Linked DNA regions of Saccharomyces cerevisiae S288C. The gene in region 2 interacts genetically with the main gene of each other region. Each region holds a gene or a part of one and is shown on either strand. Other genes may lie near its edges. The genes, in order: CRZ1, FKS1, FPS1 and UBP3.

Evidence for each region.
Region 1: mutations in FKS1 (region 2) and CRZ1 together harm fitness more than expected from each alone (negative genetic interaction), as found in Saccharomyces cerevisiae (5 studies listed by BioGRID, with this or other methods).
Region 3: mutations in FKS1 (region 2) and FPS1 together harm fitness more than expected from each alone (negative genetic interaction), as found in Saccharomyces cerevisiae (5 studies listed by BioGRID, with this or other methods).
Region 4: mutations in FKS1 (region 2) and UBP3 together harm fitness more than expected from each alone (negative genetic interaction), as found in Saccharomyces cerevisiae (5 studies listed by BioGRID, with this or other methods).

The regions. Positions count from the first base shown.
Region 1 is NC_001146.8:577,648-582,116, reverse strand, and holds CRZ1 (DNA-binding transcription factor CRZ1), read right to left. Parts: upstream 2,538-4,469; coding exon 501-2,537; downstream 1-500. Other genes in the region: SAM complex subunit SAM50, read right to left, coding at 1-197; KTR5 (putative mannosyltransferase), read left to right, coding at 3,344-4,469. UniProt on the Saccharomyces cerevisiae protein: Involved in the regulation of calcium ion homeostasis. Binds to the calcineurin-dependent response element. Transcriptionally regulates PMC1, PMR1, PMR2A and FKS2.
Region 2 is NC_001144.5:808,134-816,004, reverse strand, and holds FKS1 (1,3-beta-D-glucan synthase), read right to left. Parts: upstream 6,009-7,871; coding exon 378-6,008; downstream 1-377. Other genes in the region: YLR342W-A (uncharacterized protein), read right to left, coding at 22-195; SPO77 (Spo77p), read right to left, coding at 7,187-7,871. UniProt on the Saccharomyces cerevisiae protein: Alternate catalytic subunit of the 1,3-beta-glucan synthase (GS) complex. Synthesizes 1,3-beta-glucan, a major structural component of the yeast cell wall. Involved in cell wall synthesis, maintenance and remodeling.
Region 3 is NC_001144.5:48,369-52,478, reverse strand, and holds FPS1 (Fps1p), read right to left. Parts: upstream 2,542-4,110; coding exon 532-2,541; downstream 1-531. Other genes in the region: ATG10 (E2-like conjugating enzyme), read left to right, coding at 1-392; 60S ribosomal protein eL8 RPL8B, read left to right, coding at 3,850-4,110. UniProt on the Saccharomyces cerevisiae protein: Channel protein for glycerol. Has a role in both glycerol influx and efflux. Plays a role in osmoregulation: under osmotic stress the channel is apparently closed to allow accumulation of glycerol in the cell under hyperosmotic conditions.
Region 4 is NC_001137.3:469,129-474,396, reverse strand, and holds UBP3 (mRNA-binding ubiquitin-specific protease UBP3), read left to right. Parts: upstream 1-1,972; coding exon 1,973-4,711; downstream 4,712-5,268. Other genes in the region: PET122 (Pet122p), read left to right, coding at 1-356; YER152C (2-aminoadipate transaminase), read left to right, coding at 409-1,740. UniProt on the Saccharomyces cerevisiae protein: Has an ATP-independent isopeptidase activity, cleaving at the C-terminus of the ubiquitin moiety in natural or engineered linear fusion proteins, irrespective of their size or the presence of an N-terminal extension to ubiquitin.

The DNA.
Region 1 (4,469 bases), on a different chromosome or scaffold from region 2:
TTCACTAGCTGCCCCAAAGTAATGGATTTCATAATAGTATCATCTAAGTATGCCTGTAGTACGCTAGGGTCGATATGATCTGTCCCTGTTGTTACTACACCCGCAACCCTAATTGGCTTTAAAGTAGAACTCTCATTGAAAATTGGCATCGGGCTGTCTAAGGAAATCTCATTATCAACACCAGATGATGAGGTCATGTTGAATTGAGCTACTTTTGTCTATTTGGCATCAAAACTTTTGCCACGTAAAACGCATCCTCATACAATAACTTTTTGTTACTTGCCATTATTTTCGGCAGCTTAGAAAATTCAGACGGGCGTAAAAACTATTAATCCGTAAGAATATCACTGTTTTATACTATTTCATTACAAAAACAATAACCAAATAATACCTTTGCATGGATTAGATTAGCCATAATTTCTACACTGTCATTATGAAATTACATATTTATTATATAGAAAAAAAAAATTCCTATTCAAAGCTTAAAAAAACAAAAATAATTAACTCTCTTGTCCCGATTTCTCCTGTCTGGCTTCTTCGTACAAGGGAGTGATGCATCTTCTACCACTTTCAGTTTTAAAATGCCTACCAAGAGCATCACTTCTTGCAAACTTTTTGCCACAACCCCAGGGTTTACCGTCCTTCAGCTTACCACCGCATACATACCTTTTCTTACCTGTATGCAAATCTTCGTGTCTCTTTCTATCATGTTGACGTGCAAACGCCTTACCACAAATAGAACAAATAAATGGCCTTTCATTTGTATGCGTTCTTAAGTGTGACTTTAAGTTATAAGGTCTTGTAAACTTCTTACCACATACATCACAAGCAAAATTCGCAGGATTTTTCCTATTATTTGTTACACTGTCTAGTTTTTCTAGATTGTCATTTTTCTTAACAGAAAATGTGCCATTATCGTTATTTTCGTGATTATCATCATTTTTGAAACCAACTTTCTGCTCAAATTGGCCCAAGCTATCTATGTCTAGAAGTATGCCAAGATCTTTGCTAGTGTCATCTAGTTCATTTTTAATATTGACAATGCCCGATTCAATTTTTGGTTTACTTGTTAACAAATTGTTATTATTATTATCCTCATTAAAATTGCTACTGTTAATGGTGTTATAGCTAGTTTTGCTATCATTGTCATAGCGCTCCCGATTATTGTCATTTTCACTGGATGGTAAAAGATCTGCCATCTCCAATAACTTTTCCCTATTTGCACTTATAGATTTAGCTTTTTCATCGGGAGATATGCTTCTTGATCTCGAGGATCTCCTGCTAGTGAAACTATTATTGGAAGTTTGAGAAGATCTTCTTCTTGATTTTTTAAGTTTCAATTTTCGACCGTTAATGATATCTTCGAAGGAGCGGTCAATATCACTGAGAGCTTCGTTGTTGTAATCATTATCATCTGGACGAAGTAGATTGTTATTGTTAGTAGCGCTATAACTTTCGTTATCCCGAACTTTTAGTTGTAACGTTCCGTCATCTTCGTTTTTAACTGGGAAGTGTCCCTCATTGAATTCCTGTATAGAAATGATGGGTGTTACCGGGGCAGCATGAGTGGAAGGAGAAGGTGTGGAAGAAGTTGGAATAGTCAATAACATCTTTTGGTTAGTACCGACTTTACTTTTATTAATGGCAATGGTACTGTTTTGAGTGTCAGCGGTATTAATAATTCCGTTATTACTGTTGTTGAAATCACTGTTGTTTGATGCTGATAAAAGGTTATTGTCTGAATATGTTAAAGATAGCAAGTCATCCAACTCATCAAGGTTTGAAATATGTTTATAACCATGTGAATTTACGGGCAGTAAATAATTTGAGTTCATAGATGCGACGCTCAAAAGATCGTCAAAATCATCGTTATTCGCGGTTAAGTGAGACATCGCAGGTGAAGAAACTAAGTCCTGTGGATACAAATAAGGCGTATGATAGTTTGATTCTGTATCGCTATAATTGGAGTCAATGCCCGAGCTCCTAGTGGTACCATCGTAATTAGATCTTGGAGATAAAAACTGGTTTGTGAGGGATGGCCGATGTTGATTATCAGCAGGTGTTAAGATATCGTCCCACTGAAATGTATCAGATTGTTCGACTTTTAAAGTTGGTGTTTGCTTCTGCTGTTGCTGTTGTTGTTGCTGTTGCTGTTGCTGTTGCTGTTGTAACTGTTGCTGTTGTAACTGTTGCTGTGGAAGATCTGGTTTGTATAGACTTTGGTAATTCAAATCTGCAGAATAAGAACCGCTTGACGGAGACAGCAAGCTGTTCACGTTAGAATCAAATGAGTCCGGGATGCCAGAGGAAAGGTTCTTTGATATTTTCTCCGATGAATTGGCGGAATCCATCCTCATATCCACATCTAAGTCCAAGTCCGATAATTGGAACGTATGTGATCCTGAATTGCTACTATTCCTGAAATTATTACGTCTGTAAGCGCTGTTATCGTCTATATCGTTTTTGTTGTTTATACTTTGCTCCTCTCCATTACTACTAGTCATGTAGGAAGCCATATTTCCGTTGCTGAATGACATCTTCCTTGTACTGTCTGACGAAACTTCCAATCGAGACTAAAAATACAACCTAGTTTTACTCGCGTTCAGAGTGTATAATCGTACTAAACTGCTGTGATGGCTATTGCCTGCTCTTTTGATTGTACTTTATCTAGCACTTCACAAGGTTTATAAACTCAATATCGGACTAATATGATAAAAAAAATTCAGGTGGGAAAAGTGAGAGGGTAGGCAAGAAGGTCGAAAGGAAAACAAAAAAACGTATCGCTGATATATAGCTCGCTCATGCAAGGCACAAATACAGGGGTAGGGTCCTCGACGTAGTAGACATTCTGCTTCTATAGATATTAATTAGTATAATGTTATTCAAGATAGCTTAGCAATTGTTAAATGCGCGGATGTACTTTTCAGCCCCCAACAGAGGGGCGAAGTTGCAACTAAGCTAAAGTGCAGTCAAAGCTGGAGCTCAACTGCTAACATAATAAGATGTGACTATAGTGCGCCTGGCAAGTTGCATGTTGCACTATATTACGACCAGTAATTTCCCTTGCCGAGCATATATGCCAATTGCCATTACGTGGGATATGGAAGAGGTGGGGTGCTTTTAGGTATTTGCTTTTTCTCTCATTTTTTGGATAGTACACTTTAAGCATGCGGTGTGTGGATGATGCCAAGAAAATTGAAAAATTTGGGCAGGCATTCGAGAAAGGGTCTTCAAAAAAATGCGAAGTAGTAGATATGAGTGCTTCCGTGCACAAATAGTCTTGTTCAATGGAGGTGTCATCAATAAATGTGTCTCAATACGGCACATCGTCATAAGGTAGCAGATGTTGCTAATAAGAAGGACGATAAATGCATTTCTGGGATGTATCCATTGCAATCTTACGGCGACGTGCATCCTGATTGCCTTCGTCATAACCATGTATGTGGTACTTGTATCTGAGCCTGCATCCGTAGACGGAACTATGGGAAATTTTCTTCCGTTTTCCAAGATGGATCTTGCGACGAAGAGGGACAGACCCTTTTATTCGAATTGTGTGAATACTCAGGACTATTTGTTGAATCCATCGTACATCAAGCAGAATGCCTCGTTTGTCATGCTAACAAGGAACGGGGAGCTAGAAGATGTTATCAAGACTATCAACAGTATAGAAGAGCATTTCAATCAGTGGTTCCACTATCCATATGTGTTCTTAAATGACCAGCCGTTTGAAGAGGACTTCAAAGCAAAAGTACGTGATGTTACAGTGGGCGCGCTGGTGGAATTTGGCACTATCGATGAGATATCTTGGAATTTTCCCAGTGACGTAAAGGATACGTTCGAGTTCTACAACGCAATTGAGGATCAAGGTGATAGAAGCATACTTTACGGAAACTTAGAATCATATCATAAGATGTGCCGGTTTTATTCAGGATTATTTTACAAGCACCCGCTAGTACAGAAGTACGAATGGTATTGGAGATTGGAACCCGATGTTGAGTTTTTCTGTGATATTACCTACGATCCCTTTTTGGAGATGCTCCGAACTAATAAGAAATATGGATTTACGATCATCATCCCCGAATTGTATTGGACAGTCCCAAATTTGTTTAGACACACTAAAAGCTTTATCAGTCAAAAAGGCGTTACGCTTGGGTCATTATGGAAACTATTTACAAAGGATTACGACATTTTTGAATCCGATGATCCGGAGTTACGGGACTGGATCAACTATGATTTTCAGGCCAAGGCTAAGATATCCGAAAAGATAGCCATCGAGCAGCTTTTGAAAAAGGGTGATGATTTCCAACAGATAAATGATGACAAAGAGGGAATAATGAATTTGATACATAAGGCTCGCTCTAGGAAGCATATCGTAGAAGACAAATTTTTCAATGAAGAGTACAATCTATGCCATTTCTGGAGTAATTTTGAGATTGCGCGGCTAAGCGTGTTCGACAATGACATTTACA
Region 2 (7,871 bases):
TTGGGGCTCGCAACTATCTAGCTAAATTAATTCATTTACAATCAGAGTGACACAAATTTTTTCAGAATTACTGACACCGAAAGCTGCTCCGTTTTTTATAAATAGAGGCCGATACTGGTGAAAAAAACTAGACAAAAGACTGTTTATAATCACATAACTGTACAAAAAAACCCTTATTGGCATAAACACATTCATATACCTATAATATAAAACTAAATTAAAAAGACGCTTCCAAAAATAAGTAAAAAAGCATCAACATTAAAACAATCTAAACCAAAAACATCGAACGGTATTTGCAACATCTTGAGAGTTTCTGGTCTACTTGCTTTTGGATAGAATATCAGTAAAATCAAGCGTTCAAGCAAGTATTGATTGTATTATTTTATAGTTGACCAGGTCTTTAATGATGGCGTATGAGTATAGTAGTGACTTTGATAAGTTGACATTTGGGAACCAGTGTCATTATTGGTTGTATTTATTGGTTGGAATAGATTGTGAACAACGCCATCCAATGAATCTCCAATGTGTTTGTGGATCTTAGCAGAGGCTACAGCAGGACCAATAATGCATCCTGCAAAAATAGCCAATACTAAAAAGTACAAAGAGCAGTACTTCTTGACCATACGCTTACGCAAACGAGTTTGCTTCAGAGAGTAAATTGGGGGACGAATTTGACGAGAGGGCTTTAGCCAGAATAGCATAATCGAGTGGAATTTATCTATTTTTGGGATTATAATGAGTGGCAGTTGACAGATTAAAATCACATGACCTAGAACAAAATCAGCTGCAAATTCTGAAAGCTCAATTACCTTGGCGGTTAATTCTCTACTTGGCTGGGTCCAAGCCATGTAACCCATACCTTTACCATACCACTTACCAGTCCAGAAGGCTGTATTGGCATGATCGTTTTTAAATTCACGAGTCAACATTAACGCTGTCATGCAATGAAAAATGAGTCTTTGACATTGGATACAAGTAACGACTCCGATTAACATTCTAACAAAGTTGAAGCTCTCCAAAACCCACATGACAATGAAAAAGGCAATGTGGACAATAACAGCAACACCGTGGGCAATTCCAGCCATTACAGAACCTGTCTTCTTACAACACATACCAAATAAGGGACCAGAGCAGCATGACATACCCATACAGAAGAATAGAACACCGAGGTTAACGGCGATTGGCGCCAAGGTACAAATGATGATACGTAAAACAGAATTCACCCTATCATCATCAGTAGTCTTGACACCGGTTTGAGCATTAATAAACGTGAAGGCAATAAAACAACCAGCTGCATAAATTGCACAGGGTATGATTTCAGCCATGATCAAATTGGTTCTATGAGCCCTGCTTGCGTCACCAGCAGCTTTCTCAGATTCATCGCCAACCAGTTTACGTTTAAACCCAGTAATACGTGCCCTAGACATCCTCACGTAACCAATCCACGAGTTTCTATGATATTGATTATTACCTCTTGATAACCATCTGATATAATCCCTGTAATCCAAAAAGAAATCTTCCCAAGCAAACTGATGTGGATTGAAAACGAAAGGCGCAAAAATTAATGAAGATAGAGAGGCCCAAAACCACAGTAGTGGAGCTTGCCAATGTGCGACAGTACCGAACAGCAACATTAACATTGATCTTGCACCCATGTAGATAGCAGATCCTGCAAATCTTGAATACAAAATTGAAAATGGTATACGAGAAGTTGCAAAACCACGACCGGTGGATATATAACGAGCACCACCAATTGCTAAATCACTTAATAACGCAGAAGAGTAGATTTGGCCCGCAAACACTTCGAACATAGGGGATAATGATAATAGGTGGCAGAAAAATCTTTGGGTGGCTTTCCATAGACCACGTTCAATTAGTTCTTGAACAACAATAGGAACGAAGGCAATCCAGAAAACAATGAAAATAGACAATGTATAACGTCTCACCCAATCAACCGCAGGTTGGAAGTTGTAACACCCAATTGGAACCAAAACATCTGTTTTTGGTTTGTTCCTATCGTAAATACACATAATAGATTCATGGGCCAAGGAAGATAAATTCACCAAAGTCAACATAAACATTTGCAAAGATAATTGAATGAACAAGTTGTTCAAATGGAAACCAGGATGGGCATAATAGAATGTTAGGAAACGGTCCACTGGTAATTGGGTACCCAGATAATAATATTCACGAGATAACATTTGTTCACCCATACCAGCACCAATCTTAGTAGTGAAATTTAGAATTGTACCGAAACCCAAATCTCTACCTTTACCACATTGATAATACTCACAATGCTTGATACGACCACCACGAAGCATAGCATTCATACCAGCATAAATATCTTCGTTTAAATGCAAACCCTTTTGTGCTTTGGAAACACCACCTCTAGTGGTCATAAACGTAGCATTAATGAAATCCGGATGACCATAATGCAATTTACCACCAATTTGAGATAAAGTACGCGCAAATAATGTACCAAAAGTTTGTTCTTTACCAGCGGCCACATCACCCAGCACACCAGAGTTTTCAGAGAAAATGTATTCTCTGGCACCAACAATAGCAACAGGATGATTAGTTGTTTGCTCCTCATACCTTAAACCGGGAGCATATGGATTAACTTGTTCAACGTTCAATTCCTCAAATTCAGCCAATACAGATCTAATCTTCAGACATTCTTCCAAGTAGTTATCTTGGTTGGCATCAATTAATTGAATGTATTCACCTCTGTAAAAAATCAAAGCATGGTTTTGGTTATCAGATTTACCGTCACCAAGAATTGGGTTACCAGATAATTGAACTCTAAACTTGGGACGTCTACGACCATTATCTAGAATTTCACAATGTCCATCAATCAAAGCGGAATAGATTCTTGGCTCCTCACCTTCAGTCAAAGGTGGCTCTTCATCCAAGTAGGCAATTTGTAAGTCTGGGTAAGCTCTCAACAAAAACTCAGCATTTTCCAGTTCATGTGGTTTGAATTTAGCCAATCTCTGCATAGAGACCAAAAATTTAAACTTTCTTCTTGCCATCTTTTCTAGCTCTCTTTCTAAGCCTTCAGCATTACCACCAAACATTTGAACAATTTCAGGATTTTCCACACGATACAGTAATTTGATAGCTCTTGAATAATTCATGAACCCTGAAATGGTACGATATAGAGTCTGCGACCTCAAAGAAGCCCAAATTCTCGTACGAAGTGTATATTCTGGAGCAGCAGATTTAAAACCAATACAATAAAATGGCAAATCATCGATTTGAGATTTCAAAGCATCTTCCTTTTCAGCTTCATTTTCATTTCCTTCATAGGCAGCGGTTTCTTCAGCCAAAATCTTAGTATCCTTAACAAAACATTCCCATTCAACGGGATGTAATTGTTTTAGATATTCTAAAAGAGTAACTCTAGAAAATTGGTCATCTTCACGAATAATTTCTCTTAATGACAGCAGAATTCTTTCCGCGTAGTGAGGAGTCAATACTGTGAACGTTGGCATGTTATCAACTGGAAGTGGTTCGGGAATTGGAGTAGACAAAGATTGAGCAAAGAAAGAAATACGACGCTCAGCCTCTGAATCCCTAGGGAAAAATTCAGTCTCAAAATTATTGTCATCTTGAGAAACAAAGAAGGTAGGAGCTCTCAAAGTTCTTTTACCTTCGATTTCAGATGGAACTTGATGATATAGTAATTTTTGTACATGGTCGATGGCTAAGAGATGTTCTCTGTACATTGAAATAATGATGGCATTCCATACTTGAGAAATCAAAACCTTTGGTTTGTATTTAATTTCCATATCAGTAGTAGCCAAAATCTTGGAGTATATTCTTTTTGGCAATCTTGTGAAGATATTTCTCCATGGTGTTAAGATAGAAATACCTAAATAGAAAGATTTCCCAACAGAGAAAATGGTATTCACAATAATGTACCATAAGTAGGTATCCAAGAAGAAAAGAATGAAGTCGGTAGCGATAACCAAACCTAAGACAATCTTGGGTTGCACTTTACAAAGTACCGCACCCCACCAGTATTCACCTGTACACCTCATTGCAGTGGTGGACAAAATTCTAATTGGATCTCTCAAAGATAAAACTAAAAAGTAGTACGATTCTGAATATTTGGCAGCAAAAACAGTAACCCAAACTAAATAGGACATCCATCTATCTAACCCATGTAGAGGGGCAAATGCAGCAGTGAATGTTTGAGATGCAACATAACGCCTTGTAGATTTTTTCATATATGACGTAAACAACCCCCCCAATGGCATAATGGAGAAGAATATGATGGTAGCAACCGCAACAAAGAACATAACAGCAGCAACAACGTGTGCAGCAGTGGAGTAGACTGTATCTTTGTCGTAAGCAAAAACAAAAATAATAGGACCCAAATTAATACCAAAGATGATGCATAAAAACCAGAATCTACGAGATAGATGTTGAGCACCAGCCCATTTTCTTGGAACGAATGACCATTCACACAAAGTAGCGACAATTTGAATCAAACTTGCGACAGTACCACCTAATGCGCAAGATGCCCACTTGTAAGCAGCCAAAGGTTGGTTGTCGACCAATTGTTGATAGTTATGAGTGTAAAATGTTGGTGAATTATATGCAAAGTACATCCAAAAAATGGAGATATGCATAACCCAAATACGGTTGAAGTTGGTGACCAAATGTAACCAAGTACGGGTCTCTTTATATGTTTTGAAGAATACATCATCCCAGACGACATCGCCTAATCTTAAATAACGTTCTTCCAATGGGAGTTCTATCAATTTTGTTCCATCTTCAAGAACAATCTTTGCAATACCTTCTGGATACCAGAACAATTGGTTTAAATCATCATAACCGACAATTTTGTTATGATCTCTTTCACGCTTGACAAAACGACCATCAACAATTTCATAAACTTGATTTCTGATGAAATGATAAATTGGCGTAATGACTCTATTCAAGAAATCACCTTCTGGCATAGGTTCTTGGCGTTGTTGGCAAAGAGGGGAATCCAAGTAGTCAAGAGCACACTTGTAGATAAAACATAAACATTCAGCAGTGAATCTGACTTGATTAGCTTCACCCCAACATAACAGATATAAGGCGATATGACGAACTCTTTCCAGGGGAGACAACTGGTTCATCTTGGCCTTCCATCTAAAATCAGCAGCCTCTAGGGAGTTGTCGCCTTCAATTTTGTTTAAAGTTTCTTCAGTGTCTTCGGGATTGGCCTCTTCCATTGCTTTCTTGTTTTTCTTCTTAGCTTTTCTTGCCTTCCTTGAGAGTTTTCCAAGACTCATATTTCTAAAACCAATTTCATCATCCATATCTAACTGAGCAGCAAAATACCATTTTTTATAGTTAGCAGTATCGCCACCAATGTAGTCGGCATGTAAAGATAGTAAAGCTTGATCAGGAGACATTCTCGAGGACCTAGAGTCCAAGAGAACCATAAAATGATCAAACATATTTCTCATGGAGTCTCTTTGGAACCCGAGTCTGTTGGTCAAATCAATAAAGATATCTTCGATTTGCTCGATCGAAACGGGAGATTGAGAGTCAGCAGTCCAAGCGGGATAAGGTTCATTTGGCAAAGCCATAGCGATAGCATTTGGGTCATAATTACCGTAAATTGGAGTCGAGGTACCCGACGAATTTGGTTCTCCATAACTCATTTGAGAAGCGGTATACTGACCACCATAGCTATCATATCCAGGTGTTCCAGGAGGGCCGTAACTGCTAAAATCCGAGAAGTTTTCACCGTCTTGAGCAGCCATATTTGGCGGTTGACCATAGTATTCACCGTTTGTGTAGTCTTGGTCGTAAGACTCGTTTGGTGGTTGTTGACCATACATATCAGCTTCAGTACCAGCAGCGACATTTGGATCGTAGTAACCATCAGCTTGTGAAGGATACAAAGGCTGGCCATATTGGTCATAGTCTTGTTCCTGACTTTGCCCGTTACCTGGTCCCTGGGTATAGTCCGTTTGGCCCTGATAAGGTTGTTGATCAGTGTTCATGGTCTGACCGTTGTATGAAAGACTTGATTTCAGCTACTTGCTTATTTTAATTTTTTTGAGCGAACGTAAGAGAGGTTAATGTCCTCTAACTATCAGTCCAATGACAGTATTTTCTCCTTCTCACAAACTACAATAAATATCTACCAATCTCTTTTCGAATAAGGACTAATGATATACGCTAGTTCCTGTTTGGTAAATGAAGGCTAGTGTTCGAGAATGGAGAACTTCGTAGTCGGTTAAAACAGCTGTAGTGTTCTGGCCTTCTTAGAAAGAATAAATAGTTCAGGAGTAAAATCAAAATATCTTTTAATATAAACTAAGACAAAGAAAGAAACAAGAATTTTGATCTGAAAAAATCGAAAAAAAGGAACGAATGGATCGATGAAAATTTTCGAGACTAGGTTATAATTATTTCTTTTTTTAGATTTGTGCGCGTAAAAAACGGAACCAGAAGAAGCCAAAAAAAAAAGAAATTCTTCCTGTGCTTCATCAAAACGCGAAAATTCGTCGCCCAGTAAGTGAGACTATTTCCTATAATAGAAATCCAAGTGGCAAAAGCGTTAGACGCAGTACAAGGACGCGTTAAGAAAAATTTCGAGAGAGTCGCCGATAGTAGGATTAGAGTTTCATAACGCGTTACACGGAAGGAGAGCAGTAAGGAGGGCCCGATACAGAAAAAAAAATGGCGCTTGTTACAGATTCTGATTGCCCGTACATGACATGGTCTTTCTTTTCTTTTTCGTTAATATTTCTGCTTTTTCATGTGTGTCGAAAATAGTTAGCTCGATAAGATACTGTGATAGGCAAAAAGAAAGTTTGTCCTTCCGCATCGGTGCTGTCCCTCCTTAGCTGAGGGTTCGGTGTACCTGTGCTTTTTCGGAACCAGTTCTTGGCCCGCTAAAAATCGCTACGTCCATCCCTTTGTCTTAGTCAAGCACGAAGGAATTCGAAGTTTATCGTAATTTTGCTTTGTTCTGGTCCCTTGGTTTTCTCTTTTTGCATAAATCTGGCAGTATCGTAAAATGTGATTTGCACAAACCAATGCACAGAGGAGAGTTGAAGTACAGATAGAATGCGTTTACGACATTACTTAGGCCTTTCCAGGGCGCGAAAAGACAAAATATGGATTGCCCTTGCTAATTGTGTAGATGTTTGCATGCCGCGGTTTTATCGCTGCGTCACATATGGGATTTTGATTGATTCAAAGCCTTGATATTATCAATAAATGGTTCAATCACATCCCATTTATTGAATTGGAGGCCTTCTTCGTCCTCTTCTGTACTTGAAGTGATTGATTCAGATTCTGCGTTTGAGGACTCTCTTTGTTGGCTTTGCTTCATATCTTGAACAGTTCCGTTGCACCAAGCGCTCAAGAGTTGTTGCCGTTTTCCTTCATTGTTCTTTAACCAGAGTTGAATAATTTCATCAATTCCCAAAAATAACTGCGGAATCTGGTGCTCAAAGACAATTTTTATGAGAATTTCAATAAATGACAAAAATACTTCATCGGAAAATTTTTCTAAAAAATTGACAGAATACATGAACTTAACGATCAAGATAAAGCATTTTTGAATCTCTAAAACAATCGTTGAAAATACTCTACTGAAAAGAACGTAGTTGATAATAGTGTTTCTATTGTGGCATTGATCTTGTTCTTTTAGCTCGATTCCGAATTTGAAAGTTTCCAAAATAGAATTGGAAAAATGCTTCAAACGGCACATTATGTCCACTATATTTGTGGAGGGATACTGACCCTTTAGCTTGCAAATTATGTACTTGTCATTGTAGCATTTCAAATCTGCATCAAACATTTGTAATAAGTTTATGTTCTTTATCAACGTTTCGACCCAAATATCGTGCACA
Region 3 (4,110 bases), 760 kb from region 2:
TTCTTTTGCGTTTAATACCTACTCGACAACTGCAGAAAAATACTGAGCGTATAGAAAATAAATTACTAAATCATATAGAATTATATCTTACATATTCAAAAGTATATAACGAGCCCTTACTACTTTTGCGAATATGGGAGGAGAAAAGCATAGATGGTATTCCAATGACCAAATTGATGCTCCCAACTGATATCGAATCGCTGCTTGATGTTCAAGGCAAATTCCAACTAGGTTTGGATACTATCATTAACCTGGAAGGTAGCGTTTGGTATTCTTTCCATCCATGCGATACATCATGTATAGTAGGTGACCAGGCTGAGTTCATGTCAACTTACTTAAGACGATGGGTCAGTATTTTCATATTTAGTTGGTTAGGTTATGAAGATTCATAGCTTAACCTAGGAAAGCTTTTTAAAACACTATGCAATCATCTATGTAAATATATATATATATATATATTATACCGGCGGTAGTAAGCAGTATTTTTTTCTATCAGTCTATATTATTTGTTTCTTTTTCTTGTCTGTTTTCTCATGTTACCTTCTTAGCATTACCATAATGCGAATCTTCTGATGATGTGTCGGATAACCCAATAGAATCAGTCGTCGTCGCACCTAGCGAAGCAGTTTCAATGGAATCTTCTTCTTCAAGAATTGTTGGTATACCACCAAACGTTCTTTTGCCGCGCTGAACAGATTTAAATTGCACTTTCTTTTCTCCTGCTTCATTTTCGTTGTCTGAAATAGATGACTTGGTCTTTGTCTTTTGAAGAGCCATTCTTTCTCCAAATTCCTCATCATCATCGTTATTGTATGAGAAGTCACTCAGGTCCGATGTTCTTCTTGCTCTATTTCTCTTCTTCCAACCAGGCCTTCTAAACCAGGCTCTCATAATCATTTCCTTATAAACTGGTAAAGACCAGTTGACTGGAGATTCATGACCCTGATAAATACAGACATCGTAAACCAACCCCCCCATTAACGCACCAATAAATGGGCCTACCATGGGAACCCAAAAGAAATGATGATGATGCACCCAAAGCATTTTATGATCAAATCCAACTGCATATAGTGCAAGACGTGGGCCCAGATCACGAGCCAAATTCATTGCTGTACCTGTCTGATAAGCCATGGAAGCATTGATAATGAAAATCAAAATAAACATCATCAATGGGAAAACATCAGAGGACAAACACGTATAAGGATCGGTCAGCGCAAATGTTCCTGCTTGTAACATAGCTCCACATAAAAATTCGGAAAAAAATTGCCGTCCTGAACTTAGATAAGGCTTTGGAAAAACGCAAAACATTCCCGCAACACTTTCATTCATCCACCAATCGCTATATGCCTCTTGTAACACCCTTTTGTACCAAATAAACAAGATCAAAGCGCCTGTGAAGGCACCGATCAATTGTCCAGCAAAGTAATAAGGAACTTTCTTCAGGGGAAAACCTCTATACACCAAATTGGCTAATGTAATAGACGGATTCAAATGAGCACCTGAGATGGCACTACCACCAGCGCAGAAATAGCCCATCACCACGGCAGCAGCCCAGCCCAATGCCACATCATCAAAGGTACCGCCCGCAACGGATGAAACCAAGGATGTTAAACTCTTCATAGCGTCTATCGTTTCTGCAGAAGACCCGGTAACGTTAAGGTTATCCAAAGCCACGTTGAAATTGTCCTGCTGTATTTTCCCAGCAACATTGACCTGACAAACAACAGCACTACCGAAAATAATCATAACCATTGTTCCCATAAACTCGGCTAAAAATTCCTTCAAATAAGTGTTTTTGACGGAAGACCATTTATTAATTGGATGGTATGTGGAGGGCAAGACTGTAGGTGTTTGAGGGTTCTGGTATAATGTCTTTGGCTTCACCATAATGGGGACGTTACGTGGTGATTCATTGCTTTCCATATTAGTTTGGGCACCAGTAGTCCTGCCATTCGTGGCGCCTGTATTGGCACTGTGCCCAGCATTACTCGTAGCCCTCGACCTACTTCTCCTTCTCGATAAATGTGACTCCGGGATGGTATGCGCATCGTCTGCATTTTTGTAAAAATCTTCAATGTTAAGCACGTTGGCCGACACTGTGGTCTGCCCTCTAGGCCTGAATGCTCTATTACTGCTTGCACTCGGCGGACCGTTATCTTTATGGTTTATATCTTGTGTGTTAATGTATGCGCTAGGAATAACCTCTTGAATCGGGAAAGCAGTCCCACTTTCTACAGAATATTGTGGAACATACGTGGGAGTAGGCCGCGCACTTTGCGGAGAAGGTCTATAATCTTGCATTTCATAATCATAGTCGTCATCATTTCCCCCATCGTTGCCGTTGTTGTTGTTGTTACTGTTATTATTATTATTATTATTGTTATTATTGTTGTTAGTACCACCAGAGTGATGATGTGAAGGTTGTGATGAAGAGCGTCCTTCGTCGGATGACTGCTTATTAGATTGTTTCCTAGAACTATCATGTGTATGAACAGATTCACTGGACAGAAAGTCGTTTAGAGCTTTTTGAGGATTACTCATGTCTTTTAATGCATTAGAATGTACCCTCGAGCGTACTTGGTAAAATAATAAAGAAGAACAACCGACGCTTATTGGGACAATAGGCGTTATACTTTGTTGATTTTTTAATCCACTTCCTGTTTTTCTTGGTGGAAAAAGTGCAATATATCTTGTTTTATCTTTTCCGCAAAAAGGGCCGGGCAATCTTGCCGTCTCCGGATTCACACTGTTCCCCGCTTTTAACTACTGAATTGCGCCTTCTCACTATGAGATCTGATCGAAAATAGAGGAAGCTACAGAAGATACCTTTGTTGGACGGCACATTAAAGAAACATCTCTGAAGCATTTTAACATATATGGATCCGTCTTTCTTTCTTCTGCTAAGGGACGGTATTACACGACATATATTGTCAAGCGCAACAGAACTAATTGACTTTAGGACGAGAATAATATAACTTTATGACACTCTGCTCTCCTACTACTTCTTATGCCGTAACTCTCTCCGTCCCTCAGTCCGTTGCTGCCTTTTTCTTGCGATGGAAGGCCCGTATCAGAATGCCCTTGACAATGTTCTCATGATAATGTAAGTATTCCTTCCTAAATAAAAGCATCAGCCGCGTTATCCCGCTACCGGGTTTTATTGTTTACGGAGAAAGCAATAACAGCATTTTTTTTGGTGTTCTTCGACTATCAACAAATAACCGCCGAAGCGCCTTGCGGAGGATAACCACCAACGAACTCAAATACCTACCGCGTACCTTCCTACGGTTATGTACTTTTGCACTGCTATTGCTTTGAGATGCTATGAGAACTGCCGTCAAAATTGGGTGGCAAAGAGGGATAGCTTCACTGCCAATCACTACACTCTGTTCTGAAGGAGGGGAATTACTGTTGTCTCATAAAAAAACACCTTTGAAACACTTTCACTCATAGAGAAGCCAAGAACTCTGATGAGTTCTTTATTTGTTGCCGCTAACTTTATCTTATCTTCTCCATTGTAATAATTACTATTCTTTTTACTTGCCTGTTTTCCATCCCAATGAAGATCCGTACATCTTAGACACCCTTTTCTTTTTTTCTTTTTTTTTTTTTTTTTTTTTTTTGGCTTCCGAAGTGCCGACAACTAAAGAATTATCGCATTTTTTTTGAATACATCATACTATACGATAGAACGCATTGAAACTTTTCCCATCTCAAAATCCAGGGACAATAGTATGGGATCGATATTATTATCAAGACATAAGTATTGTGATGCGCACGTTGAAATTCACTATTTTTTTTTTTTATATCTGTTTTTCAATACAGTGAACACGATAACTGAAAGAAAAGATGGCTCCAGGTAAGAAAGTTGCTCCAGCTCCATTCGGTGCTAAGTCCACTAAGTCTAACAAGGCTAAGAACCCATTGACTCACTCTACTCCAAAGAACTTCGGTATTGGCCAAGCTGTCCAACCAAAGAGAAACTTGTCCAGATACGTCAAATGGCCAGAATATGTCAGATTGCAAAGACAAAAGAAGATCTTGTCCATCAGATTGAAGGTTCCTCCAACCATTGCTCAATTCCAATACACTTTGGACAGAAACACCGCT
Region 4 (5,268 bases), on a different chromosome or scaffold from region 2:
CAATGCACTCCACGGCGCTCAGGGAAAAGTGGAAGGTATTCTTGCAGGAGATGGATACGCTACCAGGGCAGCCGCCATTAAGGCTGCGCGACTTCCCGCAAATGACCAAGGCTATGGGCATAGCATTGATGCAGCAAGATGAGCAAGCAGCTGCCCTGGCGTTGTTTGGACGACAGCCCCTAGTGATAAAGAACGAATGGTCACTACCGCTACTACTGGCTGGTGTCCTTTGGCATGTTCCCGGCCCAGCGCAGGCGCGACGTGTGCTGGCGGAGTTCCGTCAAAGTTATCGCGGGCTGCCGCTGCTGGATGCCGAACTAGTGATAAAGAGAAGAGGATTTGAAATCAACACATAAATCTGGGTGGAGCATCGCTGTAACAAGGAACAACGCGTGCTAGCAAGCGGTAATGAAATACAAGGAAATCAATTTCTTCAAGGGCCATCCGAGCTCGAGGTTGCTGCCTCGAGAAGCAGTAATTCAAGCGACTGCGGCTATATTGGGGCCCGAGACCAGGGAGTACGATAACGACCCCTATAACAGGCATCCGCTGACGTACGGTTCGGACGAAGGTGCCCTGTGGGTGCGAGAGCAGATTTGTACGTTTCTGAATGATCAGCTGTTTAAGTTCGAAAATGGGGCTCGGAGCAGGACACGGGCAGACTATTTGAATCTGAATAGCGGCGCTTCGTATGGCATGCTGAACATCCTTCTGCAAACAACCTTGCCACATAACGGGTATACCAGGCAGGCGTTCATCATCACGCCAACATATTTCTTGATCAACAATTGCTTCACAGATGCGGGATTCAAGGGGAAAATGACCGCCATCAACGAGCAGGGCCACGACTCGATTGATTTCGAGTCGTTGATTTCTGCCCTTGAGCAGCACGAGGCGGAGCCGCAGCCCCATAGTACCACAGAGATGATTCAGGGGCCAAAGTTGACCAAGAAGGTCTACAGGTACGTTATGTACTGCATCCCGACGTTTGCAAACCCATCGGGAAACACATACTCGCTTGAGACCAGACGCAGACTTATCGACATCGCTCGGAAGTACGACATGCTGATAATCACTGATGACGTGTACGATATTCTAGATTACACGACGCCCTCAGATGAGCTGCCCTCTCCGCCCCTAAGGATGGTGCACATAGACAGAAGTACAGCGCCCTCCGGTGAGGACTCGTTCGGGAATACAGTGTCCAACGCAACTTTCTCCAAGCTGATCGCCCCTGGGCTCAGATTTGGATACCATGAGTCAATCAACGCGAATCTCGCCAGACAGCTATCTAAAGGTGGTGCAAACGTCTCTGGCGGAACTCCCTCACAACTGAACTCCATGATCGTGGGTGAGATGCTGCGTAGTGGTGCCGCCCAGAGATGCATTGCACATCTGAGATCCGTATACTCCGAGAGGGCCACTGTCTTGACCTCGGCGCTTAAGAAATACATGCCCCTAGGAACCGAGATTATGCCATTGAAGGGCGGCTATTTTACTTGGATCACTCTCCCACCAGCGTACAATGCCATGGAGATATCCACTATTCTTGCCAAGAAATTTAATGTCATCCTTGCCGACGGCTCCAATTTCGAGGTCATCGGCGATGAGAAAAACTGGGGTCAGTCATGCTTTAGGCTTTCTATTAGTTTCTTAGAAGTTGATGATATCGACAGGGGCATTGAGCTGTTTGGTGCTGTTTGCAAATCTCATGCGATCACCAATAACATAACTATGTAGAAGGAATACGTATATAGGTGAACGGTAATAAGAGGGTAATTTTTCTACGGGCAAAGGCAAGGAAGAAAAAGAAAAAGAAGGAAAAAAATATAATGTGATAAAACAAACAAGCAGCGAAAAAGCGAAAGGGAAGAGAAGTGTTTCTAGAGAAGAAAGTCATTTTAATAGTAAGTCAGACTCGTCTGCTACCATCATCCAGGTACCGCTTTCCTTTCCATCATCATTAAAAAAAATGAACATGCAAGACGCTAACAAAGAAGAGTCGTACTCGATGTACCCGAAAACCTCTTCTCCACCACCACCTACGCCAACCAATATGCAGATTCCTATTTATCAAGCGCCTTTGCAGATGTACGGCTACACTCAGGCCCCATATCTATACCCCACACAAATACCTGCCTATTCGTTTAATATGGTCAACCAAAACCAGCCAATCTACCATCAAAGTGGCAGCCCACATCACTTGCCTCCGCAAAACAATATTAACGGCGGAAGCACTACCAATAACAACAACATTAACAAGAAGAAGTGGCACTCTAATGGCATTACCAATAACAATGGAAGCAGCGGTAATCAAGGCGCCAACTCTAGCGGTAGCGGCATGAGCTACAACAAATCCCACACCTACCATCACAATTACTCTAACAATCATATCCCCATGATGGCCTCTCCAAACAGTGGCAGCAATGCGGGCATGAAAAAACAGACCAACTCTTCCAACGGCAACGGTTCTTCGGCTACTTCACCATCGTACTCTTCCTACAACTCTTCTTCACAGTATGATTTATACAAGTTTGATGTCACTAAATTAAAGAATCTCAAGGAAAATTCATCAAACTTGATTCAATTGCCACTGTTCATAAACACTACGGAAGCAGAATTTGCTGCGGCAAGTGTCCAAAGGTACGAATTAAACATGAAGGCTTTGAACCTAAACTCTGAAAGCTTAGAGAACTCATCTGTAGAAAAGAGCTCTGCCCATCATCACACAAAAAGCCATAGTATACCAAAGCATAATGAGGAAGTAAAGACAGAAACACATGGGGAAGAAGAAGATGCTCATGATAAAAAACCACATGCGAGCAAAGATGCGCACGAGCTTAAAAAGAAAACTGAAGTAAAGAAAGAGGATGCTAAGCAAGACCGTAACGAAAAAGTTATACAGGAACCTCAAGCTACTGTTTTACCTGTAGTGGATAAGAAGGAACCAGAGGAATCTGTTGAAGAAAATACTTCCAAGACATCTTCACCTTCACCATCTCCTCCAGCAGCAAAATCCTGGTCCGCCATAGCATCAGATGCGATTAAAAGTAGACAAGCTAGTAACAAAACAGTCTCCGGATCGATGGTCACTAAAACACCAATTTCTGGTACGACCGCAGGCGTTTCATCAACAAACATGGCTGCGGCGACTATAGGTAAATCCAGCTCTCCCCTGTTGTCCAAGCAGCCTCAGAAAAAGGATAAAAAATACGTTCCACCTTCTACAAAGGGTATTGAGCCACTGGGTTCGATTGCGTTAAGAATGTGTTTTGATCCCGATTTCATTAGTTACGTTTTACGGAATAAAGATGTTGAAAACAAAATACCAGTCCATTCCATTATTCCAAGAGGCATAATTAACAGAGCCAACATTTGTTTTATGAGTTCTGTGTTACAAGTGTTACTCTACTGTAAGCCATTTATTGATGTAATTAACGTTCTCAGTACACGGAATACCAATTCAAGAGTCGGCACATCATCCTGTAAATTATTAGATGCTTGTTTGACTATGTATAAGCAATTCGATAAGGAAACCTATGAGAAAAAATTCCTAGAGAATGCTGATGATGCTGAAAAAACCACGGAAAGTGATGCAAAAAAATCATCAAAATCCAAGAGTTTCCAACACTGCGCCACTGCCGATGCTGTCAAACCTGACGAATTTTACAAAACTTTGTCTACTATACCGAAGTTCAAAGACTTGCAATGGGGCCATCAGGAAGACGCAGAAGAATTTTTGACCCACTTATTGGACCAATTACACGAGGAATTAATTTCTGCAATTGATGGCTTAACCGATAATGAAATTCAAAATATGCTGCAAAGTATTAATGATGAACAATTGAAAGTTTTCTTTATTAGAAATTTGTCACGTTATGGAAAAGCAGAGTTTATCAAAAATGCTAGTCCTAGACTGAAGGAGTTGATAGAAAAATATGGCGTGATCAATGATGACTCTACCGAAGAAAATGGTTGGCATGAAGTGAGCGGATCTAGCAAAAGAGGCAAGAAAACTAAGACCGCTGCCAAGAGGACTGTCGAGATTGTTCCATCACCAATCTCCAAACTTTTCGGTGGCCAGTTCAGATCTGTGTTAGATATACCGAACAATAAGGAATCTCAATCGATTACACTCGATCCGTTCCAAACAATTCAATTGGACATTTCAGATGCTGGTGTGAATGATCTAGAAACTGCATTCAAAAAATTTAGTGAATACGAATTGCTACCCTTTAAGTCCTCGTCAGGGAATGATGTCGAGGCCAAGAAGCAGACTTTTATTGATAAATTGCCGCAAGTTCTTTTAATCCAATTCAAAAGATTCTCATTCATAAATAATGTGAACAAAGACAACGCAATGACGAACTATAACGCGTACAATGGACGTATTGAGAAGATCAGGAAAAAAATTAAATATGGTCACGAGTTAATCATACCTGAAGAATCAATGTCTTCCATAACATTGAAAAACAACACCTCAGGGATTGATGATAGAAGATATAAGCTAACCGGAGTTATATACCATCATGGGGTAAGTTCCGATGGCGGTCATTACACAGCGGATGTTTATCATAGCGAGCACAACAAATGGTATAGAATAGATGATGTAAATATTACCGAACTAGAGGACGATGACGTTTTGAAAGGTGGCGAAGAAGCTTCTGATTCGAGGACTGCCTATATTTTAATGTATCAAAAGAGAAATTAAGACGGGGGGTGGTATTATAGACAAAATACATAAAAAATAATATAGCAATAATACAATACAATACAATACAATACGATAGTGAGCACGATTTTAAAAAAGAAATAGAGACAGACAGAGAAACAGAGTTACACTTTATGCTTGGCATATTTAAAAAATGATTTCGCCCAGGATCGAACTGGGGACGTTCTGCGTGTTAAGCAGATGCCATAACCGACTAGACCACGAAACCAATTATTTCTTGGAGATGAACATTTAAGAAACAAATACCTTGTAGAAGGAATGTGAATTTCAAAATATTATGGCCTTTGGCAACAATGGAATCACAACAATTATCACAAAACTCATACATCTCTTAAGATTCATTTCTTACTTTAAGTAATCATCCAAATTTAGCCAAAGTTTGATTTTACCTAAAAAAAGCAGAGGATTCCCGATTTCAATCATATGTGCACAGACGATGAGTCCAACACGTTATCGTTAACATAGTGCTCAATATTGCCACTGCGCTTCGCAGGAGCATATTTCGTATACGCCAAGCCCAAGGAGGGTTTTGTCAT